Linked DNA regions of Daphnia pulex. The protein of the gene in region 2 purifies or fractionates together with the protein of the main gene of each other region. This does not show direct contact. Links are inferred from orthologs where the notes say so. Each region holds a gene or a part of one and is shown on either strand. Other genes may lie near its edges.

Region 1 (7,717 bases), on a different chromosome or scaffold from region 2:
CCGGATTTTGGGTACAACGATGCCCTTTAGCTTTAAAAAAAGTTGAATATGCTCCATTTAGATTTGCTATTTTTATCGAGACATCAATTAATTCTTCCATTGAATACCTCCCGCAGAGCGATATCTCAGCATTGACTCGAAAATGAAAGGCAGTCCCCTGTCGTTGGAAGAGGTAATGACAACAAATTGCTGTTACGTTCCAGGGGACCGACAATAATTTAAATTATTTTCGTCTTCGACTCGCAGATGATTTTGATGACAATTTACTCCTGAATTCACTACTCCGCAACCGTCGATTACTAGACGAAACCAAGGAAGTCTGAGGACATAAAATTGTTAAAAAGAGAAAAAAAAAAAAAAGAAACACAAGGGGGGGGGGGGACAGAAAAAAGTTTCGTAAAATACCAGTCAATTTGCCCGCTCTTAGAAATGTATACAGTAAATTCTTTTTGATCGACGACGTTCCTTTTTTTTTTTCTTCAATCGACGGCGACAACGACGCCTCACCTTGTCACCGGATGTTTGCGGTGAAAATGGTAAAGAAGAATTAAAAAAAAAAAAAGAAAAGTGTATAAATAAGTCCAAAAGACACCGAAGGCTAATACCAAAAAAAAAAAAAATAATAATCAATAAATTAAAAAAAAAATAAAAGTTTCTTTCAATGATACATGACTGCACTTATTCAAGACTCGTGTATTTTGTTCATTGATTCCATAATAATAATATATAATATGATTTCTGTTCCACTGCACATTTTGTTTCATGGAATGTCGTCATTGAATCAAATAGAGATCTAACGTGATTGCCGTTAGATAAAGTCACAAATGTCAACGTTCCAATGTGTTTCACTAAATTATTGTTTCAAGAATATTTTTTTGTTTTGTTTTAGATGGGCTACAACTCAATCTACACGCGAAAGGTAATTCAATTTGATTTAATCCGAATTGACTCGTCCTGTGTTTGATGCAGCGGAAATGGTGGCGGCCACCGGAGTGACGCCCCATTTGAGCGACGGGAATTGTTTGGCGGCCGCTTTCTTGAAGTTATCGTTGCAGAATCCGTAGATGATGGGATTGATGGCTGTGTTTACACACATGACATAGCGCGTCGTGTACAACAAGGAGCGCAACCAATCTGGGATCTGTTTTATTGAAATGTTCAATCAATTGCCATTTTTTCCGTGAATAATCAAAAGTCAATGCTCACGCTATTGATGCTGTTGCCCAGGACGATTTTATTTCGTACGATGATGGAAATGGTGAAAGGCAGGTAGCAGATGAAGAAGCCAATCAGAATGAAGAAAAGCATCCGAATGATTTTCTGACGCTGGGCCAACTGCTTCAATTGAATGGCAGAGCAGGTCGAAGTCCGCGATTTCATCTGTAAACGTATTTGAAACCTGCTGCCGTTTTAACCAATCAAGAGGATGTAAAAGAAGCTGATTACATACAATAATGAAGATGAAAATGAATAGAACAGTCATGACGATGAGGGGAAACCAGACGAGAATAGCGTCGAGGGAGATGTAGTACACGAAAGAGAAGGAAGTGTTGTCGATGCACCAGGACTCCAATATATCCTTCCATTGTCGTTCCTGTGTGTTGAGTCAAATTGGCGGCGGCAGATGATATAACACCCTAAATAATTCTGATCAATTTAAAATGCTTCTTGGTCGTACTTTATAGACGCGGGCTGCGATGAGTGGAGAGGCGATGGCCGCTGAAAGGATCCAGATGACTCCGCAAATAATGTAGGCTGCCGATTGGCCCATCCGCGGGCGGAATGGAAATGCGATGGCAAAGAAACGATCAAAGCTTACGGCCAGCAAGCTGAAGACGTCCACCAACATCAGCATCACTTTTGATTTGAAATATATGAATTACTTGCCAGTTTTTTTTTTAAAATGAAGCTTTGAATTACCTCTTAAAAATCCCTCGGTTCGACAAATAACCTTCCCAAAAATGTAATGGAAATTATAATTATTTGATAATAAAACTGACTGGTTTTGAAACCTCTCCGAGAATGAACATCTGGTAGAGATCGATGATTAAAATTATCCACGGGATGAGTAGGATAGTTAAAAGATCGGCGATGGCCAAATTCCAAATGAAGATGTTGATGGAAGTGCGCAAAAATCGATTGGTGGCCATGAGGTAAACCACCAAACCGTTTCCAAGCAGACTGATGATAATGACAGGAACGAAGAATCCGATTTTCAAGGCGCACTCCCAGGTGGGACGGACAATCCACAAAGGAAATGGGAAGTTGACGTTTGAAAAATCCATTCCTGTGAAAGTCTGAAATTCGCACGAACGACTTGAGTTCGGTTATTACGTGTGGGAAAACAATGAATTCACTTACATTGAAAAAAGTAGTAATTCCTTGCTTGTCGGAAGGTAAATCCAGCAACTGAGCTCTGCTGTTGTTTATCAAGCCTGATCGTTCTCGACTGGAGTCAAGTACTTACCGGATCCCGCAGCACTAATAATCCTCACACACACTCAGCGCAATTGTTGTGACGCACGCTTTCAAACAAGAGCGGCCATATCGGGCGGCCCCGTGTGCTATGCCTATCAGATTTAATTAAGTTCGTCAAATCGCTAGACCATGTTTTACAACTTTTGGGGGTATAACGCACCGCGGGCCGGCTCACCCCTATGCGATTTGGTTTTATGGTCCACGAATATTATAAGTCAGTCAAACCTCGGGGTCGCTTCTCTAGTACAAATGCCATACGTGAATTATTTTCCCGATATCGCGTAACCTCATTCGTGATGTTTAGTACATCTTGAACTAATTTTTTTCTCAGTTTAATTTGGTGATACTGCATTTCTGATAAACCTCCTATTAAAAAAAAAATTATAATCAGCAGCTTTCCTCCTTATGCGAAAATCACAATGCCTTATCTGAACCGCAACGTGCGGAAAGTGGACTAAGGTTGATATAAAAGCTCGACAAGGAAAGGCCTTGAATTAATTCCCTTCCTATTTCATGTATACATGTCCTTGCGCATATTTTCTTCCGGTTTCGGGACGAATTCGATTCATACTGGCAACGCTGACCTGCCACCTGGCGGCCCGAAATTTGTGAAGAAGAAGAAGCGCCCTCTACCCCACGATCGACGGAAGACGAAGCAATGGCCGACGAACAAGGCGAGAACTTTCACAGTCCCGTAAAACGAAGCAGAACTTTGCTGCCGATTGACATCTCACAGTCCTTTATTGAGGGCCAACAGCTTTGTAAGTACCCGTTTGATCGATTTCATTCATTTAATGTACTTGTGAACCTAATCAAAATTGTTAGCAAAAGATTGCATTCGGTTTTGAGGTAAATGGCCTTTTGCTTCGTTAGTGCGGCCATTGGCGGATGGGGGGGGGGGAGGGGAGACGCCCTTCTTTTTGGTCGATTGCTGCGTTGCCAAAATTTTGGGGCGGCATGTTTGAATGTCATAACAGTGTGATGACACTTGTCAAATACTGTTTTGGTTTCTTGAGTTGAAATTTCTTGATGGCTGTAGAGTTGATCCATTGTGAGCTTACTTGAAATATTTTTTTTTTTTTTTTAAATTTCAGCAAATGATGCAGGACAACTAGGAAGCTGTGAAATGTTCAACGCTGGGGATTCAGGCTTCAGCGAGTTAACGTCTTTAGCCAGCAGCGAGGATGAAAATCTCACTAATGATTTACCATCTACCAGGTAATGTGGACTAATGTCTTCTTTTTATTGTGTACAAACATATGGTCTAACTTTATTATTTATTTATTTGTAGCTATGCTTTGCCAGCCATTCAAGATGCTGATGATTCAATGGGCAATTTGGAGAAAGATGATGATACCTCCTCAGATAGTGATGTTTCAGACATAAGTGGGTTGAGTGACTTGAGCAATCATGACTGGGAGCCATCATCAGGGACGATGTCTTGGGTGCAACAACAGATGCTTCTTGGTACCAATCCTCGAACCATCCTGAATGAGTTGGTACCAAATGATGCTCAAATCCCCACCCATCTTGACGATGTCACCCTTTGGAAGGTAAAATTATAAATTTGTAGCATTGTCAAGGCAACTAATCATAATTATTGAATAAAACAGATAATCGTGAATATTGTCAGTGAACCTCCAAGGCGGGAACGTTTACGCCACATAAATGCAATATCCGATGCCGTCAGATTACTCCGTAGCTGTAAAAAGATTCTAGTTCTTACAGGAGCAGGGGTAATTTTTTTTTTTTTTTTTATAAAATAATTTACCTCATTATATTTGAACAAATTTTGTTTAGGTTTCTGTTTCCTGTGGTATTCCCGACTTTCGTAGCCGTGATGGAATTTACGCTCGCTTAGCCGTCGACTTCCCTGACTTGCCCGATCCTCAAGCTATGTTTGATATCCATTACTTCCGAAAAGATCCCCGACCGTTCTTTAAATTCGCCCGAGACCTTTGGCCAGGACAGTTTACACCTTCTAAATGCCACAAGTAAACAAATTCTCTTGACAATTTTGAAATTTCGCTAATGAAACGATATTTTGTTTAGGTTCATTCGTTTGCTAGAGAAACAAAACAAGCTTTTGCGCAACTACACGCAAAACATAGATACACTAGAACAACAAGCAGATATCGAAAGGGTTATCCAATGTCATGGCTCGTTTGCTACTGCCACTTGCCTGCGCTGCCAACATCGCGTCCCCTCGAACGAGATAGAAAAAGACATAATGGAACAACGCATTCCACTTTGTCCGAAATGCTCGGATGTGTCGAAAAATGAAGACGAGGCCAGTACATCGTCGTCGGTGGCATTATCGGCCCAGCCGATCATGAAGCCTGACATTGTTTTCTTTGGAGAAGGAATGCCAGACGAATTTCACCGCGCTATGGTACTCGATAAAGAAGAATGTGACCTGATAATCGTGATTGGGTCATCGCTCAAAGTCCGCCCTGTCGCACTCATCCCATGTAAGTTATTTTAAATGTCATCTTGTAACCTTAAAGTTCATATGCAATAAGTTTCTCTTGATTCAAATAGGCGCCCTACCGAATCATGTTCCGCAAATTCTTATCAATCGCGAACCTCTCCGCCACATGGTCTTTGATGTTGAACTGCTTGGGGACTGCGATATTATCGTCAACCAACTGTGTCATTTGTTAGTATACAGTAATTTTCATCAGCCAAATTTGTTGTCTCATCAATCTTCTTGTAACAATCAGACTGGGTACACAATGGAAAGATGACATTTGTTACCGCGAACCTCTAACAGAGATCAGTCGCCTACCACCACGCCCCACTCCTTCTGTCGCCGTACCTGCACCCATTTTCCCCAAAAGAGATCAAGACGATCCTTTACGCCGGGACAGTGGGATGTCTACAGGAAGCTTAGAAATGGAATCAGCCGAGTCTGGTGATGTTGAACCAGTTACTCATGACATGACCGGATGGTGGGAGCCGCGAATCAAAGTGAATCTTGCCGATCAACTCCCAGGTAATTTATTTTTGTTCGGTTGTTGTCTATGTCATCTATATGCATTTCCTTGCATAAAATTCAGAAAACACTTATCTCACCGTCCAACCTGGTCGATACCTGTTTCCTGGTGCTGAACTCTTCTATGACCCAGACGAAGAGGTAGAGTCCGATTCTGACTCATCCTCTGATTCCAGCGATTCGTCTGGAATTGATGGAGGAGATTCAACTCAACCTTTCCCGGAGCATGGAGTAAAAAGGAAAGCGATGGATTGACGACGTATTCCGAAGCAACGACAAAGCTTCTGTTTTTACCATTGTTATGTTAACAATATGGATTCTATTTAAAAGCTTCAAGCGTGTGTATATAGACGAAATCTCTCGATGGTATTTAGTATTTCTTTTTTTTCCTGTATTATGGATAAGGGGAAGTGGAATTTTCATTTTTCTGTGAAATCTTGGCAAGCTGTTCTGAAATGTTCAGTGCAATCTACCTCACCAATCTTCAAGAAATAATGGCCATTATCTATTGCACCTGCAGAAAGGTGGTCGGCTATGTCGGGTACCGGGAGAGGGTGAGCATGAACTATTGATTAAATTTCAAATATTTCCCTTAAATTACTTTGAAATGTTCTACTAAATGTATGTATGTCTTGTCTGTATTCGCGTTTACACTTGTTCTGTATCCATCAATTTATTTGAAGCACAAAACAAATCCCCCACATAAAAAAAAACTTCTCCTTGAACCAAGAAGGGAAAATAAACCATGACTTCTTTTTCACTCTAATTTGATGTTCTAGTGAAATGTCATAAAAATCAACCATGTTAACTGGGAAAAAAAAATTCAATGCTTCTTACAAGCAGAAAAATTGCATCACTTTATCTTGATTTAGAACTTGTTTGCTGACCAAGTTCAAAGAATATTGAAGTCTACAGATTATTTGGATTTGTACTTGAAACAAATTCAAATATCCATTTCGAATTGAGGTTCTTCCTGTTTCTTGTCTTCAACTGCAATAGAATTAAGTATTATTAGATATAAATTCATAAAACAAGAAGTTTTTAAAAACCTTTTTCAATTTCAACAGTTGGAAGCTCCACAGGTTTGTGCTGTACAGTAACATTTTTCTGCCCATTGATCAACTTGGACTTCTCTTTGTGAGGACTATCGCATGTGACACCAGGAATTACAGGCAAGTTTTTGGGTGGAGTCCTGGCGACAGGGGAATTGCGCATTTGCAGCAAGAAATTCCTATCATAGATAATCTTTGTACCTAAAGAAACGAAAGGTGTGATGAATAAGCTCAAGAATAAAAAACTAAAGAATAACTGTTATTTTAGAAACCACACAGCTGTGCCTGTCATAAGGGCACACCAGACATCATAACACCCATTCCTAAATACCTCCAGGAGTGGTTGAATACAGAGTTCCATTGGGTGTACTGGAGTAATCATGTGGTAATTGACTGGCATCATTGATGAGAATTCGTCTTGGGATGGCTTGACCTTGGGGTTGAGCGGCCTGGCGAGCAATTGGTGACGCTGACATTTTGGCAGTCTAAAAAGAAAAATAGTGATAACCAAAATAATGAACTACCGCGTGGCGATCAAACATATGGTGTGTTGCTATGCGAAAATAAACTACCAAAATCTCATTATAACTAAATATTTAATGTCATGCATAGGACAACAACTTACTTAACACCATGTGTCTCAACTTACGGCGTATAAATGAAGAAGGCGTATGGCAGGTGATCTGGAAAAATTAAAACTCAGTCTATTATTTACAACTGGGAAGTGCGTCGAAACTGGAGAGCAATACGTCGCAAGTCCAGCACGATATAACTCGATTTTTTACGCAAGGGAAATCGATTACTAGTTTTTACGAGCACTACATATTACATATTTTAAGCGATAAAATGATAACAAATATGTCTGTATGGACTTATTTATTTTTCTTTTGGATAAAATAAAAAGATTTATAGAAGTAATTATATGTACGCCAATACTATTTGGAAAATTACTGAAGTTTCACAACAAGCAGATCTGCAACAAGTTTCCAAGGCAAGCAGAAGAAACAAGAAGCAGACAGACGACAACGCTTGTTTACATTATACCAGATTATGTTGTCGTTGTCTTTGTATTTCAATAAAAACCACTATGGTCTATTAACTGACAGTTAATAGACCATGAAACCACGTTGAAATATGGAAGAAAACTTTGATTAGAGAATCAGAATTTCATTATACAGTTTTTAAATAGAAG
Region 2 (7,946 bases):
TAGATGATTGTACCCGCGGCGGGTATATATATATTTCTTAATCGCGTTCGGGAGATAACTGTTCACTCTTTATCACATCAATTAATCAGCAGTGACGTATGTCCTATCCTATATACACAGCTTACAATCGCACACGTTTTCTATCGTCACGTTTTGAGTTGTCTTTTGTTATTTGGCAATCGCATTAAATATCAATTGACGCACCTTTTTTAGCGGTTAGTTCTTTGATCAAATTCATTTTTTTAATCGACTTTTTGGGCAGCGGGAAATTATTTAAAGAATGGTGGAATTTGTTTTTCGCTTAAAATTTGAATTAAAGAAAAAAAAATTTAAACTTTGAACGAATATGCTTGACTACAAGCTGTACATGCTCGAAAAATTTCTTTTGATATAAAGAGATTAGAGTCTCGCCGTTCGTCGGCGGCGGCTGGGGCATCGAGATGTGATCTCTCTCTCTCCCCTTTTTATCGAAATGGACGGTTGGCATGGCAACACACGATAGCAGCAGCCAGCCTAATCTGTGCTCTATACCAAATCGTGATATCTTTTACTTTTGCATTTGGGAAATGAAAAAGACGATGGAAAAAAAAAACGAATAATAATAATAATAATAAAAAAAAGTCAGCCGAATCAGAATAGATTACTTAAGAGAAGCGAATGTTACGCAACACGCTTGCGCAGCAGTCAGCGTTGGTATACTTTATCTCATGTTTTGGAATTGTCTTCAAGGGCAAACTGGTTAGTGATGAATTTGCGATTTTGTGCGTCTGAAATTTTTGTGGATTCGCAACGCCAAATGTGTTGCGCGGCGCCTTTTTGAATGGGGGGAACTTTGAATCAATGGAGATGAGCGCCATCTCTCGGGAAACAACTATTTCAAAATTAGATTTCGGGCAGCTGGGCAGGAAAGGAAAAAAGTGACGTAGAGTCGCGCCAAAGTTCTCTCGGCGCTCTTGATTAATATTCTACAATGTTAGATAACGACAAAAGGGAAAATGATCCTGTGTGATTTCAAAATCGGACGTAGCAAATTGGTGACGGGCGCCACAAGGTCTGAATCTCTCGCAATAGTCCATCGTTGTCCCAGTCGAAAAAGCCAATCAGCGTTTACTAAAAACTAAAATATACGCGACTCGAATCGTGAATTTCCCATCGACGTGCAAGAGAAATGAAATCAAAACAAGATATTCTGAAAGGCAAAAAGAAGTAAAAATGAGTTTTCCCGACTGGCATTAGTATACAGAAGAATGACGACAGAGAGCGGGATTCGTACCCAGTCACATGTCGTGGGTCCCAGTCCCACTACTATACACAATAGCCTTGCCTTTAGCCACGATACACTTGCCGTTTCACCAACTGTGTGCCTTTTTCTCCTTTTCTTCTTTTTCTTCTTCTTCTTTCCATCCGCATATTTTTGAGTCGGGAGAATCTAACGGAGCGCGTGAATGACTGGCGTAGTAACTAGCGCCATCGCCTTACATCTTCTACGGATCGTTGCGACATTAGGACTCGGCCGTGAGAATGGCGCCGCCAGATGACTCTGCCAACGAACTGCACGATCGCAGGCATACCGCGGTTCTAGGTGTACACACACGGTCTAGCTCGGCTGTACTCTCTCTATCAATAAACGTGTGTGGTAAGTGAGTGGGATGGAAAAGGGAGAGAGCAGACACACACACACGGTCGGGCCGGGCCGGCCTTGATAATGGGCGATTGCTGAGAGCTTATAGAAGAGGCTTTCTGAGGGTGAGAGAAGAAGGAGTGAGGTGGGAGGTGTGTATAGTAGTAGTATAGTAGGTTGTTCGGGTGGTGGTGGTGGTTGATAGAAAGGATAGGGAAGTTGTGATATGCGCAGTAATTCGACCTTGGCCGTTTGGCTGAAGGCCCGAGCGCTCCAGCAGCAGCACCACACCGCCGCCCTAAAAAAAGAAAAAAATATCAAAAAACACGTTTTTTTATTTTATTTTTTCTCTCTCTCCTTCCACCACTACCAGCAAAATAAGAACGCCGAACAGCATCGAACGAGTTTAAGCGACCGAAAACTAGCTGGGCCAGCAGAGAGCTGGGCTCTCTCTCTCTCCCGCTCTCCTAGAAACAACCGCGCCACTATTTCACATGTAGGAAAAAACAAATCAAAATGAATTTTTTTCCTATTTCTTCCCCATTTGAAAATCGCGCTGGAAATGCGCATTCCAATAGTCGACAGGAAAAATTGAAAAAATAAATAAAAATTTGGGGAATTTGAAATATGAATGGCAATGAAGCGGATCACATCTAGAAAGGTCTCGTGAGTTTCTATACAGTCAGTAAAAACGAAAAAGGTTGCCGGAACTGTTGGGACCCACATAGCGCCAAGGCTGTGTAGAGAGGCTTTATCACGCAGCATGTTGGTGTGTATAGTATGTGTATAAAGTGCCAGTGGAAAAAAAAAAATTGTACACGACGTTTTCCCGTGGTGGCGGCCGGGTATGAGAGAGCTGCCCCCTTTTCATTTTATTTTTTCGCTTCTCTCTCTCTAAGGCCGGCTCCGCCCCTCTCGCCCTCTAGTGTCTATGTGCCAGTGTGCCCGTGTGCTGTGCTGTGGAAAATCCCAAGTACGACTGAGCGGCTTCAGTGCGCGTCCAACTCTCGCCCAGTCCAGACGAACTATCGGACAACTGCCATCATTTTTCTCTAAACTCACATACCAAACTCTAGTAGTGCTCTCTCGCTCGCCTTTCTATTTGCCCCCCCCCCTCTCTCCCGTGTGTGTGTGTAGTAGTATATTTTCGGTTGAGACACACGCATCATCATTTTGGCTAGCGGGTCGTGTGTTTGACTATTTGTCGAGTGTGCGCACTTGCGTCGTCTGCCTCCACTGCCAAACTACAACAATCTGCTGCCCGATGTTGCTACGCTGCTGCCGGGGCAACAACACATGATCGTGCATCTTTCCACATCACCTTTTAGCTGCTTTGCCCAGTTCTTCTTTTTTTTTTTCTTTTATTTCTGGTCGGGGAGTAAAGAAATAGACGACGGTTCGCTTGGTCCGCACAGACACACAACCTTCGACCGAAATCAGCGAAAAAGGGGTTCAGATTGCGCTGCTGCTGCTGCCCTATGGCGCGCCGACGACCAGCAGTCCTGTTGCCATACGCTCCCAAAGACCTGACACGCTCGTGTGTGTGACTCGCATCAAAACTTTGGCGTTAATCTAAACGAATCAGATTCGAAAAAAAAAATAGAAAAGAGGCAAAAGCGCGAGCGCCGTGTGTGACGCTGTTTTTGATTTTCAACTTTTTGGATTGCATCACTCATCGCACCTGTCGACCCGACGAAAGAATATGACACTAACGCAATCCCCTTTGTCGTCATCATTAGGCAGTGTCGTCGTTTATTACAAGCCGAGTGTTTAAGTGATTTCCTTCAATAATTGTTTTTTTGTTATCGCGCGTTCGTTTGATTGGACTTGGTTTTGATTAAAGACAATCGGAAGAAATTGAAAAAAAATGGCTCACGCTCATTTGGATTTGGATTTGGACTCGAATTTTGAGCCGCAGCAGCGGGCCAGGTCCAACACGTGGCCGTTGCCGCGCCCGGAGAATTACGTCGAGATCAAGGAGGAGCCGTGCGATGTGGACTCGCTGTGCGGCGGCCACGGCGGTGGCGGTGGAATGGGCGGCCTGGTCGGTGGCGGCATGGGCCTGAACATGGGCAGCCCCATGGACTCGATCAAGTTGCTGGACGGCTCCTGCTCCGGTGGGTCGGCGGCCGGCAGTGCGGCCGCAGCGGCGGCAGCGGCAGCCAAGAAGAATTCGAGCCGACGCAACGCTTGGGGCAACATGTCTTACGCCGATTTAATCACGCAGGCCATCCAATCGTCGTCGGAGAAGCGGCTGACCCTGTCGCAAATCTACGACTGGATGGTCCAGAACGTGCCCTACTTCAAAGATAAGGGCGACAGCAACAGTTCGGCAGGATGGAAGGTAAGACTCTATTATCGTCTTTCTTTATCATTTATCCCGTGTAAAATGACGTCATCATAAGTCTAGATGATTGAATCATAATATTACCAGCCAGGGGTGTATGTGTGTGTGTAGTGGGGTAGACACAATCTCTCTCGACTATGATGGGAGGTGCGTGCGGGATTTTCGACTGCAAACACACACACACAGAGAAAAAGTGACGTCGGAAAACCCGCGTGATGATAAGGACGCCCTTCATCTGATGATAATAGGGCCCCAGCTGATTAATGAATGATTCAATGCGCGGATTCGAGTGTGCCGTGCGCTATTCACTCTTTTTCGGATCCGGTGCGGTTTTTCCCGGTCTTCGTTTATTTTTTTATTTTTAAATTTTGTTTTTCTGACTTTGGCGTTCGCACAGCAGCTGAACCGTCTCATTTGAGAGCGCCGCCGTCTCCCCCCCCCCTTTTTTTTCTTGTGTGACTTATCGACACTCGGGTCCGGACTTCATTTGGCCGAGGAGGGTCAATGATCTAAAACTTATCCTGTGTGCATACGACGGGAATGTAGTGCATCTACTTCTAAACTCGATAAACTGACTATACTCGGATCGATTTATATGTATTCCCTCCCGACGTGATGAATAATTATGTCCGTATTGAAGACTCGGGACGTTGGCTTGTGAAAAGTCCGCCACAGTATACACGCAGGAATAGGAAAAAATAAAAAAACAAACGAGAAAGCCGTCACGTGACGGACGAGTGTGAGTGAGTGTGTGTGTACGAGAGCGCGGCCTTGAGAAGAGGTTCGGCGGTGAAGAGGCCGTGACGTCACGGCTGTTTAGATCTTCTCTCCTCCATTTTTGTGTGCGTGCGTGTGTGTGTTGGAAAGAGATGGCGCCGGCAAGCCGAAACCGCGTTCATTCGTTCTATATAACGTCACGATATTATATCCTACAGCATATGATGTATAGAATCAAACCCCCGACTTGTATATGTATATAAGGGCTCCGGCATTTTTCGGCGTTATTGCTGCCGCTGCTGGACAAGTTGCTCTACTTATTTTCTCTACAGTTCGTTTCACGCTCCCATTCGGTTTTTTCAATTTGAAATTTAAAAACGTCGATCGAATTTTTTTTGTTCGGGGGGTTTTTAATAAGTGACAATGCGACCAAGTTACAAATTTGATAATTGTGTGATGTTGATTACAACTTTACAAGAATTGTTTTTCCCCGGTCCATCACTTCCGGCTGGTGGTTACTGGATCGCGCGGATCTGTGTAGACGGACATGGCGGAACGGATGAATTGGTGAGAAAAAGAAAACCAGAAACGCGTCGTCTCGTTGCATATCTTGTGTCGCCTTTTATAAATGCGATCAACTATATAGAACTTATTGACCAGCCGTTGAGTGTTGTGTGTGTGTATAGAGTTTTAAAGCGCATTAGAGATGTGCTTGACCAGTTAGAGGAGCCGGATAGTTTCTCAAACTCCTATCAAGGTTCCACTATATTATTGGACACCCGGCCATCATCGTCGACGATTCAAATTCAGTCGAGATTCCAATTACCGTTCTCCCGTTCTTTGTTCTGATTACCATCGAGACGAATTCTTTCGAGTCAATGGAACCTTTTTTGTGTCTGATTCGAGTAACCAAAGAGATTGAGTTCGTACTAGTTTATAGATATTACTTTCGATCCTTGGCGATATATTTTTTCAAATGTTAACTATAGTACGGACAATTGGTACGTCGAAATATTTTTTCATTTTGATTTTTATCACATTTTGCTCCTTTTGCAACCTCAAATCTTCCATAGGGATCGACCAACCCTTTTTTTTCCCTAGCCACCCTCCAAAAAAGAGTAAAAATCCCCCATGTGTATACTTTTTAATTCTTTTCATCATAATAATATTCGCCAGTGTGGAAAGACGAAGGTGCATGTCGAAGAATACCTTCATCCCCTTTTACTTTTCATGAAAAGAAGAAGAAGAAGAAAACGTAGTACATTATAAGCCTCTGCTGCATGTCTACAGGGGGGAGGGAGGAGAACGAGGTCAGCCAAAGGGTCATAGTACATGCAGGCCTGGCGAATATTTATAAAGGAATCGGCGAAGATGCTGAAGAAAGCAAAAGGGGTTAGATGGGGGAGAGAGGGTTACATTAGCACAACTCTCTCTCTTTCGTCCCTGAAGAAAAAAAGGGGTATAGTACACGTCGTACAGCACATAGAGCAGGAGGCCATTACACAGCGGACCCAGAGGGAGGTTAGAGAGAGGGGGGGAACCTATATATCCAGGGTCAGATCGGGTTACAAAAGCCCCCTCCTCCCTTCCTAAGAATGGCGAAACGCCTGGAAATTGGCGATGCCCAGCCATCATATGCCAGTTTCCTTTCCCACTCACATCGCCGTAGTATTGCTCCTGCTCCTACTGCTGTGTATCACAGGGTATAACAATATAAAAGAAGTTGAAAGAAAATGAGGTACAGTCGCGAATAGGGTCATTCGAAAGGGGCGACCACCCCCTCTCCCTTTTCATATCTATCTGATGGTGGTGGTAGTACGGATGTATGTGTGTGTGCGCTGGGCCTATATGGAATGCTTTAACTCGGATCTTTTTTTATTTTCTGATCCTCCTGGACATGTCCAGCAAGCCCAGGCTTTTTTTTGGCTAGACATCGCAGACGAAAGAAGAAAAAGAAAGCTGCTGTGCTGGAACCAGCGCACAAGCTAATTAGCTGATGGCTCGCATTGACAATGACAGTCCTCTCTAATCGAATCATCTTTTATTTGGGTTTTGTTCTATAGGGGTGGAGGGAGAGCTCAAGACATTTCTCTCTATTCTTTTTTAAAAAAGAAAATCTATCAAGCAAATACTTTGATGATTTGCATCTCGAAAGATGTTCATCATCGCGGAATGTGTGGACATTGAAACTCCCGTTAGACACATTTTGAGTTTCTTGGCTGTGTGCTGTGCATAGAAATTAAGTCTTAAAGTTTAAACCAAAAAGAAATGGAATGAAGGAAATATCAACTTGTGATGGCTGGTTACGAGCAGGCGGGGCTCCTCGTGTGCCGAAATTCTTTTGGGTATTCGCCGAAAAAAGTTTGTGCCAACCTTCGTTAGAGTTGCTGGTGGAATAAGAATATGTGAGTGTGTGCTGGTAGGGGTGAAGAGTGGTGGATGGGGGGAGAAACAGCGAGTGAATGCGAGTGCAATGGAAGAAAGAAAAAAAATTTGCGAAGGGGTAAAAAAAAAGTTGTAGTACCGCCGCCATACTCGTGGTTGTACGTACAGGCCTGTGATGCGTTACTCGCGAGTTATACCAAGGTCGTTCGATGGGGTTAAATTCGGACATAAGGGGGAAAGAGAGAGAGAGGGGGGGAGAGCCACCAAGAACATTTGTGTGAAAGAAACACGCCAAATGCCAAATTTTTTTCCCCCCTTTTCCACGCATATGCCCTTGTGAAAAACGGACGAAAAGGTGAACAAACCCACAAAAAAAAAAAAAAGAAAAATATAATCATCATAAAAATACTTAACTGGTTGTTATGTATAGAGCTTCTATATTATAACACCGATAACTTGAGATAAAAAATTTGATTTCGAAACAGTTGCAAAAGATGCAAACGATGTCGATATATATCGTGTCGAAATTGATAGACGGCAGGAAAATTAAAAACTAAAAGAGAGAGAGAAACTCTGACAGTATGGCAAAGGCGAGATTTGGGAAGATAATTCAGACTCGTCTGATAAGAGATCCGTCGCCCTAAATTGGTTGCTACATGTACAAGATCTCGTTGGTTATATTTCCTTATATATAGGCAGCAACCCCAGCAGTTGGTTGGTTGGGGGGGTTAGACGGGCGAGGCTTTACAACAGACGAGAAAGAGAGGGGAAAAACAGAAGAGAGAGGCCATTTTTTCGCGATTTCGCCCGCATCAGACTTTGTACATTCAGACGAACCCTTTTTTTTTTCTTCTCTCCTTTTCTTTTTCCGCTTTT
Region 3 (8,065 bases), on a different chromosome or scaffold from region 2:
TAGCCTCTCGGTGAGGAATGCTTCCCAGCCAATGTTAGTTTCACTCCCTTCACGACGAGATAAAAATCGAGGCGACGACCAACCAGTGTACCTCATTCCAGAACTGTGCGGCATGACGGGTCTCAGCGATGATCAAAAGTATACATTAACTCGAGCATTCAGTATTGATAATAATTTTACTTAATCATTTCTCAATTTTTAGGAAGAATTTCAATTTGATGAAGGATGTCGGTAATATTACGCGAGTTATGCCAGATAAACGTGTTGATGCCCTCATGAAGTTCCGCAAACGACTGGCCGATAATCCAAAGGTGAGTGTGGTTAAATATGACTTATTACAATCTATTAATGATATGTTCTAACAGATTCAAGAAGAGCTTAACAGTTGGGGTCTCGACTTTGCAAAAAATATTGTCTCTTGCAATGCGCGTATTATTCCTGCTCAAACGATTCAACAGGGTGGTAACAGTTTTCCAACACAAGAAGGAGACTGGAGTCGTAATATTCAGCGTAAGTTATACTTTACATTAAATGACGAATCCGAGTACTAATCAATTATTAATCGATTTAGGATCCAGGATGTGTGTGTCTGTGGAATTACAGGATTGGGTTGTATTTACGCCGTCAGCAATGATGCAAGAAATCACACCCTTCGTTAATATGATGAAGCAAGTTGGAGCTCAACAGGGTTTTAACATCCCGCAACCTGAATAGTATGCGACCATTTTTCTAATATATTTAATATTCAATTCATTCTTAAATTACGATTTTCAATAATAGTATTAATATGCAAATGGACCGTACGTCAAACTACGTCGAGGCTATTCGAGCGGAATGTGGTCGAAAGCAATTCAGCCTTATTTTTTGCGTGTTGCGTGCTGCACGAGCAGATACGTATGCTTCAATCAAGAAGATGACGATCTCAGAATTCGGCATTCCATCTCAGGTATCCGTTTGAAAGGGAATCGTAGTTGGCATCTTCATGATTGTTTAACTAGATTTGATCTTCTTGCACAGGTGATAACGGGAAGAAATATCAAGGGACAGCCCGGTAAGCTCATGTCAATCGCCACCAAAGTTATGATTCAAGTTGCTTCGAAGTTGGGTGCGGAACCTTGGAGAGTTGCAGTCCCCCAGACGGTAACTTTTCTCGATCGAGACGTTTGCTTCTTGAATTCTTAATTTATCTTTTGGCTATTATTGAATGTAGAAATGGATGGTTATCGGCTATGATACGTACCACGATGCACGTCAAAGAAAAGCTGTCGGTGCATTTGTTGCATCCATCAACCCGACCTTCTCGCGTTACTATTCTTCTGTGAAAATTCATGAAAACAATGAAGAAATTTCACCCAGCTTCAAAGATCATCTCTTTGGCGCACTCAAGTATGTTTTATTATGCTTTCTTTGTTCCGTGCAAAATAATATCTCTTTTTCATTCGCACAATTAGATCTTATTACATCATGAACGAAAAAACATTGCCGGAAAAAATCATTGTCTACCGTGACGGTGTCGGTGCTGGAGACATTGCGCGACTGAAGGATACGGAAGTGGCGGCACTGAGGGTAATAATGATGAGTGACGGTCTGTGGGAAGATTTTGAGGCTCGTTTTTCTATACAATTATCATTTTTTGGCTTGAGTAGGAGGCTTGTTCCGATGCTGGTGCTCGAACAAATTACCTCGGGACTGGTGTGTATAATCCACCCATTGCGTTCATTGTCGTAAGCAAGCGGATCAACACGCGATTTTTCGCCATGGGACAACGTGGAGCGAGCAACCCTCCTTGCGGCACGGTTGTCGACAATAAAGTGACGCTCAATGAGAGATTCGACTTCTTCCTGGTGTCTCAAAAAGTTACGCAAGGTACCGTTTCTCCCACCAGCTACAATGTTATTGAAGATGACACTGGAATCGCCCCTGATATTCACCAGCGACTGGCTTATGCTCTTACCCATCTTTACTACAATTGGCCTGTAAGTTTTTTTATTTTTATTGTCTATTTTATTCAGAATTGAATTTAACCAATTTGTTCATTTAAGGGTACCCTGCGTATTCCAGCGCCCATCCAGTATGCGCACAAGTTGGCGTACCTTGTTGGTGAATCAATGATGACGCAACCGCATGAAGGACTGAATCGACTTCCTTATTACCTTTGAATTACCTTTCATTTATTTTCTCCCTAAGTTTTGTCATTTTTAACGTATTAATTTGTTCACTCATAAGAAAAAAACTAAAAGACGACGAGACATGCCTCACTCGCACGATTTTCGAATGACGCCAAAAATATTTTTCTTGAGTTTGTTTGCAATGGCGGATATCGACAATGGAAGTGTTTTTCATGCAATTTTTTTTTCTGTTTCACCTTCATGGGCCATGTCAGAAGTGTGATAATGAACGCCCCTTTGTGCCATGTTGTATGTAATCAAGGAATGAGTAATAAACCTTTGTTTTTAAATGAAGTAGATTTATTGACTTTCGTGTGGTGAGTTTTTATATGATGAAATAAACATGAGTTGCAATGGAATTCGCGTTGAGATGGCATTGACGGAAAAGCTCTACGTGTGCAATGCACATAGCACATTAGGTGTTTCGAAAGCACTGAGGAAAACAAAAGAATGTGGCATCGCTGCTTGGCAGGCGTGGTCAAGCTGACAGCTGTATCGAGAAGAATGCAGGCCTGCAAGGCCAACAAGGGTACGTCTGGGCAGGATCGTCTGGGCTTCCTCGATAGTCAACTTTCAGGTCCGCAAAAGCCAAAAGAACTCGCAAGTCATTGAATTGCTAATTGTCCACTAGAGACACCATGCGGCTGTCTCTTTTGTAACCAAGGGATCTCAATCGTCCCACAGCGAACTAAATCGTTTATAAAAATTATTTCAATACTATAAAATGACTTGATTTCATAACTTGAAGCTTTTTAAAAACACGATAAAATAATATTTACGTAACAAAATAGATGGTTGCTAGACATCCAATAATGAATTCACAAAAAGTATGCATAGAATCAAATGATTAGAATGAACATGTCATTACTCGGATAATAGAAAATTTGAATAAAAGTTTTATTTCATAAGAATTAATTAAATACCTAAAAGATTAGACAGCCCCCAAAGGTGTTTGGCCTTGTATAGATGTCAGCACTGTACGCTGCTAGATGCATAGGTAATAAGAAACGAGATCTGGCAATCTGGCCTCTTCCCATCCCATCGACTCTCGCTGGCATTTTCCGCTTTAGCTACAGGGCAAAGCATTCTAGCAAGCGTACGGTGGAGTCTCAGTTGCTAGCTACACTCTTTGGTCTTAGTCGAGACAATTCGAGGCAGGTTCCGATTCCAACGGTCTCGCTTTTGTTTCTTTATCCAGTGACATCTGCTTATAGTTTATTCCAGCAGCCATGGCAGACAGAGAGGATAACGTTTACAAGGCAAAACTCGCCGAACAAGCCGAAAGATACGATGGTACGTAAATGTCATTTAAATGTAAAATCGAAAAAAAGAATGAAGTTTCATTTCCTCTGTGTCTCTATGACTGTGCATCTCTGTGGGTAAAACCGAACGAGACGGTAGGCGGCTTTGAAAAAAGGCTTGGGCGTTTGACAGACTTATGACGTTTTGACTTTTTGTCTTTTTTCTTGTACATTCGGTTGTGTAATGGGGAAATTCAGCGGCGTCCCCCCTCTTAGTGTTGGCTTGAATACTTTCGATCAATATGACACTCGTACTTGAGGTTCATTTTTCCTGACAATTCCATTTTATCAAGTATAGTATAATCTCAGCCATGTTTTCTAGAATCTCTTTTGAGGGTTTTTGTCGCAGTACGAAATAAAAAAAAAGTAATTCTGGGTGTGTGTCCGGTGTGTGTGTGTATCTCTGGGTGGTTTTCCTCGAAACCTACCGCTACGTAACGAGATGACTTGGATCAATGAGTCATGAGAGAGAGAGAGAGAGAGCAGAGACTTTGGACTGTCTCTTTGTATACTTGCTTTCCAATAACTTTTTTATTCTCTTTTTCGTGAAAAATACGTAGTCGTTTCTATTCAACTTGGGCCTCTCACCATTGCGCATCACCAAGGCGACGGATCTCTTCAAAACGACGCTCGGTAGAGTACCCCACCCTTATGTGCGTGATGCGTTGGGGGTCCTGGCTACGTTGATGAAAACGTGCCGTCTAAAAAAGCTTCTCTCTCTCTCTCTCTCTCGAGGACATCAAAAAGGAAACCGTTCACACAACAATGGCCGCCTGTGATGGTTAATTTTCTCTTCTATATTTTTCTCTCGACTCTTCTGTCTGCGGCTTACAAAAACCAAGAATCGGTCAAGCTCTGACAGTGGGCGGAGAAACCCGATGGAAAATTAGCCACCATTTTTATTTTTCGTCTTTTTCCTTTAGGAAAATATTCCAACTGGTATGAATGGGGCGTTTTTCTATTTCCACATATTTTCGAAAAAATAGTTGTCGCACGTGACGCGTCTCGTGCCTTTTGTCGTTGTAGAAAAAAAAAATTAGTTTTTATATTTTTAACTTTATTCCCCCCCCCCCCCTTCACGTTTCAATGATGGAGGGAAGTTGGAAAGAAGAGAAAATGCGGTGTGGGTGTGTCGCCCTAGAACCTGTCATTACGCCACTGCGATGTGAATCCAAGTGGAGAGCCTGTCCGTGCATACAACTCGATCGTCTGGTTATTATTATTTCCCTGAATTCAAACATGTACGCCCAGCTGGAGAAACTTTTATTTTTCAATTCCTCCCTTAGAAAAAAAGAGGACACACATAGTTTTGTGTGTGTGTGCGTAACGTCAACTCGGTTTGCCCCTGTACTTTTCCTTCCTTCCGCCGTGGGGATGCTGATGTTGGGGGTTATATGACGACTGCGACGTGCTGGATGTGTGGAGAGCGGGCGGAACTAGGCGGTAGCGTGTTTCCTCCCGTGGCCGTTATTGATCCGCTACTTGAAAAGTCGCTCGAGTGTGGGGGGTGGGGTAGACAGGGAGATGGGGGGGAAAGAAGGCAAAGCCTTTATGTCTGAAAGTGTATCTATCTTTTTCTGTCCAAAAGAGAAAGGGATCCTCTGACAAGTTTCTTTGGCTAAGACTATATGATAATCTGTTTGTTGATGCAGAAATGGTCGAGTCCATGAAAAAGGTGGCGTCGATGGACGTCGAGTTGACTGTCGAGGAGCGGAATCTGCTGAGCGTGGCTTACAAAAATGTGATCGGCGCTCGTCGTGCATCTTGGCGCATCATCTCGTCCATTGAACAGAAAGAGGAGAACAAGGGAGCCGAAGATAAACTTGAACTCATCCGCAATTACCGCAATCAGGTATGGATAATGTATTCAAATTTTATTCATTGATTTGTGCCTTTATCTGTTTTGTCTATAGGTCGAGAAAGAGCTGAAGGACATTTGCTCTGATATTTTGAGCGTCCTCGAGAAGCATCTCATCCCATCAGCCACCACTGGAGAATCTAAAGTCTTTTACTACAAAATGTAAATCGATTTTTGCTTGGCCTTTTTTTTTTCAATCTTGCGAGTAGTAGTTGGACATTCCTATTAAATGCACCGGTGGATTTCTCTCAAAGTCCTTGAGACTCGAGCGTCTGTGATTTCGAATTCTACTCGTGTTTCGCTTTGAGAGAAAAGAAAAAGTGTCGTTACTATCTCTACCAAACGTGTACACAATTTTATCGTACGTAAACGTTGCGCCAAGCGCAACTTTGTGTGCGCGCAGACATGTTGTGGATGGATGGCCTGGTATTGATTATTGACGATTTTACACAACTCCCTTCCTCTGCTTTTGTCGTTGTGTTATACAGGAAGGGTGATTACCATCGGTATTTGGCCGAATTTGCGACAGGAAATGACCGAAAGGAAGCTGCAGAGAACTCGTTGATGGCTTACAAAGCCGCCTCCGACATTGCCATGACGGAATTACCCCCCACCCATCCCATCAGGTAACTTAACTAACAATTTGTTGCCGATCCTCAACTTAACTTTATCATTTGTAGATTGGGATTGGCCTTGAACTTTTCCGTCTTTTATTACGAAATCCTCAACTCTCCGGACCGAGCGTGCCGGTTAGCCAAGGCAGCTTTCGATGACGCCATCGCTGAGCTCGACACCCTTTCGGAGGAGTCGTACAAGGACTCGACGCTCATCATGCAGCTCTTGAGGGACAACTTGACCCTCTGGACTTCCGACATGCAGGGCGATGGAGAAGCTGGTTAGTAGAGCAACAGCTAATTGATTTTTGTCCAATCACGCCAACAGGACTTGTGTGTGTTAATAATTAAAATTTCCTTTTTTAAAAAAATTGATCAAGGAGATGGTGAACCAAAAGCGGAAGTCGCAGACGTTGAGGACCAAGACGTCTCCTAATCGGCGATGTAATTTGTATTGATGTGTTTTTTTTTCTTAAGTCCTACATGATTTGTTCAATTTTTTCATTATATTATTAATTTTTTTTTTTCAACAAAAAAAAAAGTAATCCGGAAATCCACCACCTATGTTTCCTTTACTCTTATCTGTCTCCCATTCGCTCCCCCTCCCTCTAATTGTTCATCCCGCGCTCTTCATCGAACACTGGAAACTGCATTACAACAATTACCGAAACGGTTTGCATGGACACGTGTATAACTCCTCAAAAACAAAACAAACAAAAAATAATTAATAAGCAAAGGCTGTGTGTGGTTTTTGTTGTCATTCCCGTTGTCCCTGCCCTCTGTCTCTCTTTAATTTCCAATAATCATTTCCGTTATCTCTTGGATCTTCCTCGTCGTTTTATTCGTCGAAGATCCAGCGTGCCCGCACACACACACACACAGACGATACACAACACACTCACAGTTTCAATTTCTCTTCGGAATTTTTCTCTCTCTCTCTCTGCGATGTAGTCTGGCGTCACACAAGACTTCACGTGTAACCTTTTAAAACAAAAGCTGCTGTTGTCTTTTCAACTTTTCTGTAAAACTGCCGCGATTTCTTCATTTCCTCAAATTTGTATCAAATGGGATTGAATTTTCTACCAGGGGCTACTAGAGAGAGGAAAGCTGAAGAATTCGAGTAGAGGTAACTGTGGAAAAGTATTTGATTCAGTCTTTCCGCAACTAAATAATTGGCAATGGATTTTTTGAAAAGTAAAAAAAAACACGAATGGAAGAATAATTTCTTGGCTTCGTATCGCATTTTCCCCCCTTTACTATTTACTATTAGGCCTACTATTAAGTTTTTAACTTTTTCCATGTCGCTCGAGCCATTCCCTATTTATTTCTCTGTGGTGTCCAAACATTTGCTCACCATCATAGTTGGGAAAAAACCAAGAAGAAAAAAAAAATATTTGAATTTTGGAAAAGAATTTTTTTTTTGGTCCGACGTGATGTAACCAGTCTCCTTTTTTGCAAAGAAAAATAATCTCCTTTTCCTTTTTCTATCATCTGTCTGGTTGTAAAACAAAATAATCAAGAGGATGACCGCTGCAGAAAGAAAGCTAGGTCAAATACACGCGCGCATTCTTTTGTCCTCGGTTTCCACAAACAATAATTTTTTTCTTATTTAAACACATTTTTATTTTGGTTATGTTAGACGCATCATCATGATATTCTGTGCAGTGTCATATTCTTTCGGTAACATTGGATACTACAGAGTGGCACTGCCGTCTTGGAACATGAGTAGCGCTTGACATTAGTGCATCCTTGCACTCCACAGTTGACTCGAGCAGGTGGTTCTCTAAAATAATAGACAAATTAACTTAAGTTTTATCCATTTGAAAAACATTACATACTTGACACTCTGTGGGGCCAATGGAAAAGCAGCTCCAATAGGTACACTAAATGTTATCTCCCCGTCTTGTGTTTGTTTCCACGTGTAGGAAGAGACGTGACTGGGGACGGAAACAGAGGCTGATGAAGTTGAAGCCGAAATACTCGCAGCACAGGATTTGTTCAGTTTACTTTCCTTCTTCAAGAGAAGGCGATCGATGGTTCGTTTCTGAGTAAACGGGGAAAAAACCAATTCAAATTACAGCGATGAAAAAAGAACAATATCTCGTGCGTGATTAATACCTTTTC
Region 4 (7,355 bases), on a different chromosome or scaffold from region 2:
ATTCCTTCATGAGTATTTGCAGCACAGGAACCTTCAGAAAGATTTTCTGGTTCTTTTACTGATGGCTGAGATTTCCCATGAAAGCAGTCACCATTGGCAAAGCTAAGATTGATGTCTGAAACCAATATGAAAATCCAGAAAATTTCCAAAAATGAACTTTGCATTCTCCAAATTTCATCCTATAGTGGTCAATAAAAGAAGAAACACAAATAAAATTGAAATTTCAAGACTAAAGATGGTTTCAAGCCAATCATAATTTTACTATTTTAAATCAGACAAAAAATTGACAGCTACCCAAAGCTCGTAACCTATATGTTCAGAAAAATGGATACTATTCTTACATATATCTATAGAGTAGCTATAATTTTGAATCTAATAATTACGAATACAATACAGAAGAAGATTGATTATAGCATACACAACGACGACTTTGTTGTCTATGATTATAGCGTTCGTGATAAAATTCGAACCTCATGTCACGCATGGATGTTAAATGGGTTAAAGCAACCGTAAGAAACCTCAATTTCACAGTTGCATAACCTTGAATGTGTACTCAAGTGTACGCTAGAGGGCATCAGAAAACCTTTTTTGTCAACAAATGAAGTAGTGACTTTCCTGTTTCTTCTACTCTGATGCTTCGAATTATTTTTATTGGATTACTGTGATAATAATGGATCGTTCTGGGGTTACTTCTGGTAAAAAATTTCATAATTTTTGCCCAAATTATACTGAACTCTTTATTTTTATTAGCCAACAGTTACCTCAGAGGGGTCTCTGTAAAGATTAGCGAAAAGTACCGACCTCCTCGTAGACCCACACTTCCGCCTGGATTATGCTTCGAACCTTCTCCTCATTTATTTTCTGATAATGTATGAATTGATCCAATTTAAAAAATGATCAAAGATCACCTTATGTGTTGTTCTTTAGATTGACCTCATTGATGAAGTAAGTGCATTGAAGCTGATAGCCTCAATGAGAGATCTACATACACAGGAGACTACAAGAAGAAAGCAAAGTGTATCTGCATTTTTAGAGAGTCAAGCTGCTGTCGATGAGAAGGAAATTGAAGAGATCACTTCAGACCTTTCCTTGAACAGTCTTACTAACAACATTCCCTCACTAAGTGTTCTCAACTTGCAAGCAAGGAATGGGCAATTGCTACAACATACTCAGGCTTCCATGGAAGTCCTTACTCCAATTCAAAGCTCGACTGTGGAAATCAAGAAGAAAGAAAACATGTCTGCTATCAATCTAGCTGAATTTGAGAGTTATTCAACAAATCCTTTTGAGGAAATGGAATTAAAGACCTTGAATGACAAAGAAGAATTAGCCATGTTGCTCCAACCCAGCCCTCAGCCATCTTATGGACTACAGTATCAGAACTATAACCCATCAACAATTCCATCTTGGACTGAAAATGTACATATTATTTTATATTATTTTTCTTATTTTAGTTTTTATTTTTCACTAAAGAAAATAAAATATAATTTTTATTTTAGAGACATCAACCTGTGCGTCAATATGAAGCTGCAGCAAATTGGATTCCCAATGAAAGTTCATTCTTTAGTGTTGACAAGCTATCTCATGGGAACATCGCTATACCTGTAGAATTCCAAAATCAAGCAATCTCACATAAAAACTTACGTCAAGCTAAAAGTGTCCCAGACCTCTCTGACGTAAGTTTTGGGACGGGAGAAACCCCTATAAATAAACCGCCATTTACAGGTGTGACGGACAAAAGACTCAGTTCTCGCACTCCCCCTCCTCGTTTAACATCAGATTCTATAAAAAGACCAGTGCCTAAACCAAACTTTGATGTTGCATCTCCGTATGAAAGGAAACTGAACGCAATCGAAAAACGTTTAGTCCAGCAGCTACAAGATATGGGATTTGTGAGAGAAAATGCAGTTCGTGCTATTGCTCGACTTGGTGCCAACGAAAAGGATGTTGTTGATCAGCTTTTACTAATACAGAAACTGGAAGAATCGGGCCATTCCATTGAGAGAATAGAAACGGCTTTAGACGTTCTTAAGCCCTGTAAGGAATTACCAACGCAATTAGAACATCATTTAGTGTTAGTTGATCAGTTGTCTGCTTTAGGATTTGAACACGGTAAGATTAGCTCTGCGCTTGTTGCTGCTGGACACGATCGCGATAAAGCCTTGGATATTCTTTTGTTAAAGTAAATTACATTAAAATCATACGATGTTTATTTAGTTTTTTTTTTTCGTGTTCTTATGTCCTCAAGTCAATCAATATTTTTTTGTTCTTCGATAAGTATAAAAATCCAAATGTCAACGATTCTGTACTTAGTCTTCACCTTTTTTCTGCTGGAATAAATTGACATATGACATTATTCAACCTAATCAAATTGTCAAAGTGTGGTTAATAAAACACCAACCAAACAAATACTTTTGCGCGAAACGACTCGGGGTTTGGTTAATGAATAAATATACACGTTGGCGACATCGATGTCATTGCATAAATTAAAAGTTATTGATTCCGTAGCTATAGACATCTGTGATCATTCTGTCGGTTCACTCAGTTGTATTTGTATTGAATCTTTTTTGAAATTCGCTTCCTCCCTGGTCCCTTAAACTGGTTCCTGGATCCTAAGCAGAAGTAATTAGAATATTTCTATTACTCATTAGTCATTACTCTGTTCAAAGTTTCCTAAGTAACTTAATGTTAAAGTTTTAATAATATTCTTAATGTTAAAGTTATAATAATCAGTTAAAATATTCTACAAACAGGCATCATCGCATTGACACAGGCAAATTTGAATTCCCGCCGTCTTTGCCATACTTATTTTTTTCTAAATTGAATATTTTTCTTTCCTTACTAAATAATTTCGTTACTTTAGTATTAAAAGTAACTTTGGTTAAAATCTGTGGTAAATTTTAAGATTTTTGCTTACATTATTTTTTAAATTTCCGAAATGAATTGTTGAACGGTCAACATCGGATTCCACAGACAGTGTCTTTTTAGCGCGCGACGTGACGAGTTTGGACGTTGCTGATTGTAGATTTTTCTTTTACACGTTTTCAATATAAACGCAGTAATTAGTTTGAAGTGCCTTTTGGTTAAACATTTCAGCTCAATAATTGTTTCCAGTACGCTTTTATGTACCAAAATTTTTATTAATTCTCTCCCTTTGTTGATTTCGTCGTTTGCCCCGTTGCTACAAAATATGGCTAAGTTAAATACCGGGTTTAAACGGTGGAGTCTTGATTGCCATGACGTATCGATAGAAGTCATGGAAGATCTAGGATTATCTGCAATGGACGATGATTCAAACTCCTGTAGCAATCCATCAGTAAAACAAGTAGTGATCTCCAATATTCCTGAACCTGCTGTAAAGCGAAAAGAATGTTCACCTTTTGCTGTCCCGTCAGCTGTAATGGATTTTTCTGAAGATGACCAATCTAGTGATAGCTTTTTATTGTCTAAACGAATGAGGATGGATGGTCCCCCAGGAATTGATGGATTCTCACGCCTCTCAGACGAAGTCATTCTCAGCATATTTAAATGGCTTCCAAAATCAACTATCGCCAAATGTGCTCAGGTGTCAAAGCGTTGGAAACGACTGTGTTATGATGAAGTTTTATGGAGGAGGTTGGACCTTAGTGGCACCTGCCTAAAACCTACGATTCTAGGTAGTGTTCTTTTAAGAGGAGCACACATCTTGAGGCTAGCTAAGACTGAGGTAATTAACTTTTGTTTGTTTCTTTGTTATCAACTACTAATATTTAATTTTTCTAAACAATGTACAGATTTGTGATCCAATATATCCAGTAAGTCCTCTACTTCAAGAATTTCCAAGGTATCGAAATTTGCAATTTTTGGATTTGAGCATGGCATCTATTTCAACACAAGGTAATCTCACCAAGTCATAATTTATAGGAATAAGGGTACAAATTTGGACATATTATGCAGGTTTATTTGATTTATTTGATACTTGTAAAAACCTGAAGAAACTTAGTATGGAACATTGTGTTGTTGATGAAAGAGCATGCAAGGCACTAAGTCAAAATGAGCAGCTTGAAGTGCTGAATATGTCCATGTGTTATGGTGTTGGAGTTAGTGAACTTAAATGGATTGTGAATGGATGTAAGAAACTTGACAGTTGGAATTTAGCTTGGACAGACTTGAATTCTGAAGCTCTTCAGTTGATTAGTACATCTGCACCAAAATCCTTAGAACGCATAAATATCAGTGGTTGTCGAACGACACTTAAAGACGAACGTAAGTTTGTAATGTTGACTGGAAATTTGTGATCATTAAAGTTGAATGCCGAATTTTATGTTAGATGTCCTGGCCTTGTGTCAACGTTGTCCAAAGCTGGTGGAATTAGACATAAGCGACTCCACAGCAGTGACATCAATTTGTGTCAGCTATATTCATGATAATTTAAAGCGACTGGAATATTTGGCGATGGCTCGATGTTACAACGTGCCTCTCTCCGTGTATTTGTAAGTAACATTGGCGTTAGAGAGCAAAATTTGAAAGATATTTTAATCATTTCTATTTCCTTTAGGGTGTTTCAAAAGAGTGGTCTTTTATACCTTGACATTTTTGGTTTATTGACGGAGACTATGCTTGGAACACTTCGCGCCAAACTTCCGAGTATAGAAATCAACAAGTTTTATTTCTCTAGTGTAGCAAGACCTACAGTCGGAATTCGACGTACCTCAATTTGGGGGATGAAAGTCAGAGAGTGAAAAATTCAAGTCATGTTTATTGCAAAAATTAGTAATACATATTGATGTATTCAAAACTGGTAAAACAATTTATTGGCATTCAGCGGACTTAAACTTTAATTTTTTCTAAAAATTCAAATACGCGTTCCTTGTATGACTCTTCCTTTAGTTTTCCTATGAGCACATGAAATGGCCTTGCGCCTCGTAAAAATTCCCCTAAGTTATGACTAGTGAAATTTATTCGATGGTCTGTGATACGATCTTGCGGGAAGTTGTAAGTCCGTATTTTTTCTGAGCGACCGCTAGATCCTACCTGCAGCTTACGACTTGACCGAGTAGTTGCCAACTGTTGGTCGATTTTCATTTGGAAAAGACGAGCTCTGATTTTATCCATTGCAACCTTACGATTCTGCATTTGCGATCTTTGTGTCTGACATTCCGCCTAATTAAAAATGTAAAACATTTAATTGTTGATGAGAAATACTTCAGTTAGTTCGGTAAACTTACCACTACACCTGAGGGTAAATGGACAATTCGCACTGCTGATTCAGTTGTATTTACATGTTGTCCACCTGCGCCGCTTGCTCTTTTTGTTTCGATTTTAAGATCCTTAAAAAAAAGAAGAAAAAAAATGTTAGTCATGCATTCAAGGAAACAGAATTAAGTATTAGTAAACTTACTTTCTGTTCAATGGTCACGGAAACTTCCGAAGGGCGGGGAAGGATGGCAACGGCTACCGTACTGGTATGAACACGTCCGGCCTTTTCAGTTTTGGGCACCCGCTGGACCCGGTGTACTCCACTTTCAAACTGCAGTCGATCATATGCGTCTGAGAAAAAAGTAGGTAGTTGTATCTAATATATTAAACTAAATTTTTGAAAAGACATACCTGAATTATTAATGCAAATTGCAGCATGCCTAATACCTTCTAAATCACTTTTTTCAATATCTGTTAATTCATAGTCCCATCCTTCACTTTCACAGTATGTGATGTACATTTGTAATATTTCATTGCAAAACAACATGGACTCTTGCCCACCAACTCCGGCAGAGAATTCCATGATTATTCCCTCAGTTTGATGATTATCTTCCTGCAAAATGAGTTCTAACACCTAAATCAATGAATGGGTTCTTATCAATCATTTAAACTTGATTACTCTGAATTTATACTTCATTTTGGATCTGGACTAGGATTTCCTTTAACTGTGAAAATTCTTCACTGACCATTTTTGCAAGGTCACCATTTTTATCATCTAAGATACACTATTTAATATAGATTTTTAAATAAATATAACTAGATACACCTACCATCTGCACTCAAAGCTTTAAGCTCTTGTAGATCATTTTCAGTCTGTAATAGTTTTTCCCCTAATCCAGCAAGTGATTGGATGCGTTGTTTGTTTACTACACCTATTCCAGACTTTGATTCAATGTTTTGAAATCCTGATTCATCAAACTTTTTCTTGATATTTAATAAGAAAATTCGAAGTCTCGGGTCAAATATATTTTCGAATGATACTTGATTGAGATTTAAACTCCTATGTGAAATGGTTTGATTCAAACAGCGAATGGATATTACATTATTAGCATAGCTTTTGGCGAAACACGGTCGTCGTAAGGCACTTAGAACTCGTACTATTTTACTGGAAATACCCCAAGTTACCATTTTTAATGACTAAACTTTGATGGTAATTTGAATATATTTTCAACGTCTTCAAAATCAAAATCACAGTGAATCGCAGTGAATCCTTTTTGACGGTAGCAGACGACACTGGAATCTTGTTGATTGGTGAGTCAACTGTTTAGAAAAACCTGAAGGTGAGTTTAAAGAGTTGTTGTTTTGAAATTTGATTCACGCAGTGTGAATTCGTGAAACATGCGTGTGCGCGGGATTGATTTACACAATTAAACCGATCATACGTTGGAGATAAAAAAAATATCCTCTGCCCGTTATAGGCTAGTATATGCATCGCACACAAATATCTCTATGGCACTCTGTTAGTAATCGACAAAATGACTACGTTATTCGAAGTTAACACAAAGCTTACAGAATGTTTACATGATTTTGGGTTAGAATGCCACCCATTCAAGGTAATTTTTATTTTGCTTCTTTGTGTAGTAATTATTTTATGCAATATTTTTTTAACTTCTAATTAGAGTTAAATGCATTTCTTTATTATAGGTTGGATGGTACAATGAACGAGTGAAATCTGGCTTTCAATTAGAACACCATGAAGACACACTTTGTTTTGTGGTGATAAGTAGTCCTTCATTTTTCGAAAAAGGCTTTATACCATTTGTTCGTAACAATACTGGAAGCAATAATCAGGATTACCTTGATCAAGCCATAAGCTCTTGTCTTAAAACAGCAATTCAGGTTTTATTTGATTAAATAACATTGTTTTTTATTTATTAGTTTATCACTCTATTATCTTTGTGTAGTCAATTCCAGGCTATGATATTAGTATTCTCCATGATTATGAGATGAGACCAGGAACAAGAAGACCAAAAGTTCTTGTTCAAACAGCAGGCTTGTTCAAATTATTGCTTATATACCATTATTCAATTATGCTTATTATTCAAATTCAATTCATTGCTTGTTCAAACAGGCCACGTCTCAGGTGCTGTTTATTTTTATCAGAAAACAGATGTGAT

Evidence for each region.
Region 1: the proteins of forkhead box protein O-like (region 2) and NAD-dependent protein deacetylase sirtuin-1-like purify together in Homo sapiens (affinity purification with western blotting; 4 studies listed by BioGRID and IntAct, with this or other methods). This does not show direct contact. The link is inferred for Daphnia pulex from reciprocal best matches to the Homo sapiens genes FOXO3 and SIRT1.
Region 3: the proteins of forkhead box protein O-like (region 2) and 14-3-3 protein epsilon purify together in Homo sapiens (affinity purification with mass spectrometry; 4 studies listed by BioGRID and IntAct, with this or other methods). This does not show direct contact. The link is inferred for Daphnia pulex from reciprocal best matches to the Homo sapiens genes FOXO3 and YWHAE.
Region 4: the proteins of forkhead box protein O-like (region 2) and S-phase kinase-associated protein 2-like purify together in Homo sapiens (affinity purification with western blotting; 3 studies listed by BioGRID). This does not show direct contact. The link is inferred for Daphnia pulex from reciprocal best matches to the Homo sapiens genes FOXO3 and SKP2.

The regions. Positions count from the first base shown.
Region 1 is NC_060021.1:10,712,772-10,720,488, reverse strand, and holds NAD-dependent protein deacetylase sirtuin-1-like, read left to right. Parts: upstream 1-3,050; 5' UTR 3,051-3,136; coding exon 3,137-3,239; intron 3,240-3,572; coding exon 3,573-3,696; intron 3,697-3,769; coding exon 3,770-4,031; intron 4,032-4,091; coding exon 4,092-4,214; intron 4,215-4,278; coding exon 4,279-4,472; intron 4,473-4,530; coding exon 4,531-4,949; intron 4,950-5,019; coding exon 5,020-5,137; intron 5,138-5,201; coding exon 5,202-5,473; intron 5,474-5,537; coding exon 5,538-5,728; 3' UTR 5,729-6,239; downstream 6,240-7,717. Other genes in the region: calpain-9-like, read left to right, coding at 117-172, 247-273; neuropeptide FF receptor 2-like, read right to left, coding at 935-1,141, 1,207-1,380, 1,451-1,594, 1,679-1,857, 1,921-1,951, 2,013-2,285; eukaryotic translation initiation factor 4E-binding protein 1-like, read right to left, coding at 6,417-6,463, 6,523-6,726, 6,857-7,001. UniProt on the Homo sapiens protein: NAD-dependent protein deacetylase that links transcriptional regulation directly to intracellular energetics and participates in the coordination of several separated cellular functions such as cell cycle, response to DNA damage, metabolism, apoptosis and autophagy.
Region 2 is NC_060019.1:11,772,827-11,780,772, reverse strand, and holds the start of forkhead box protein O-like, read left to right. Parts: upstream 1-2,551; 5' UTR 2,552-3,488; coding exon 3,489-3,965; intron 3,966-7,946. UniProt on the Homo sapiens protein: Transcriptional activator that recognizes and binds to the DNA sequence 5'-[AG]TAAA[TC]A-3' and regulates different processes, such as apoptosis and autophagy.
Region 3 is NC_060024.1:10,586,783-10,594,847, forward strand, and holds 14-3-3 protein epsilon, read left to right. Parts: upstream 1-3,230; 5' UTR 3,231-3,397; coding exon 3,398-3,461; intron 3,462-5,121; coding exon 5,122-5,321; intron 5,322-5,382; coding exon 5,383-5,489; intron 5,490-5,815; coding exon 5,816-5,953; intron 5,954-6,007; coding exon 6,008-6,222; intron 6,223-6,315; coding exon 6,316-6,377; 3' UTR 6,378-6,765; downstream 6,766-8,065. Other genes in the region: piwi-like protein Siwi, read left to right, coding at 1-138, 203-311, 366-510, 572-713, 781-946, 1,018-1,140, 1,211-1,386, 1,452-1,566 and 2 more; INO80 complex subunit B-like, read right to left, coding at 7,589-7,724, 7,780-7,985, 8,060-8,065. UniProt on the Homo sapiens protein: Adapter protein implicated in the regulation of a large spectrum of both general and specialized signaling pathways. Binds to a large number of partners, usually by recognition of a phosphoserine or phosphothreonine motif.
Region 4 is NC_060018.1:4,259,220-4,266,574, forward strand, and holds S-phase kinase-associated protein 2-like, read left to right. Parts: upstream 1-2,961; 5' UTR 2,962-3,190; coding exon 3,191-3,706; intron 3,707-3,773; coding exon 3,774-3,876; intron 3,877-3,936; coding exon 3,937-4,245; intron 4,246-4,309; coding exon 4,310-4,472; intron 4,473-4,537; coding exon 4,538-4,721; 3' UTR 4,722-4,777; downstream 4,778-7,355. Other genes in the region: peptide chain release factor 1-like, mitochondrial, read right to left, coding at 4,810-5,142, 5,208-5,309, 5,381-5,529, 5,590-5,812, 5,871-5,953, 6,009-6,366; cyanocobalamin reductase / alkylcobalamin dealkylase-like, read left to right, coding at 6,714-6,791, 6,883-7,077, 7,143-7,230, 7,310-7,355. UniProt on the Homo sapiens protein: Substrate recognition component of a SCF (SKP1-CUL1-F-box protein) E3 ubiquitin-protein ligase complex which mediates the ubiquitination and subsequent proteasomal degradation of target proteins involved in cell cycle progression, signal transduction and transcription.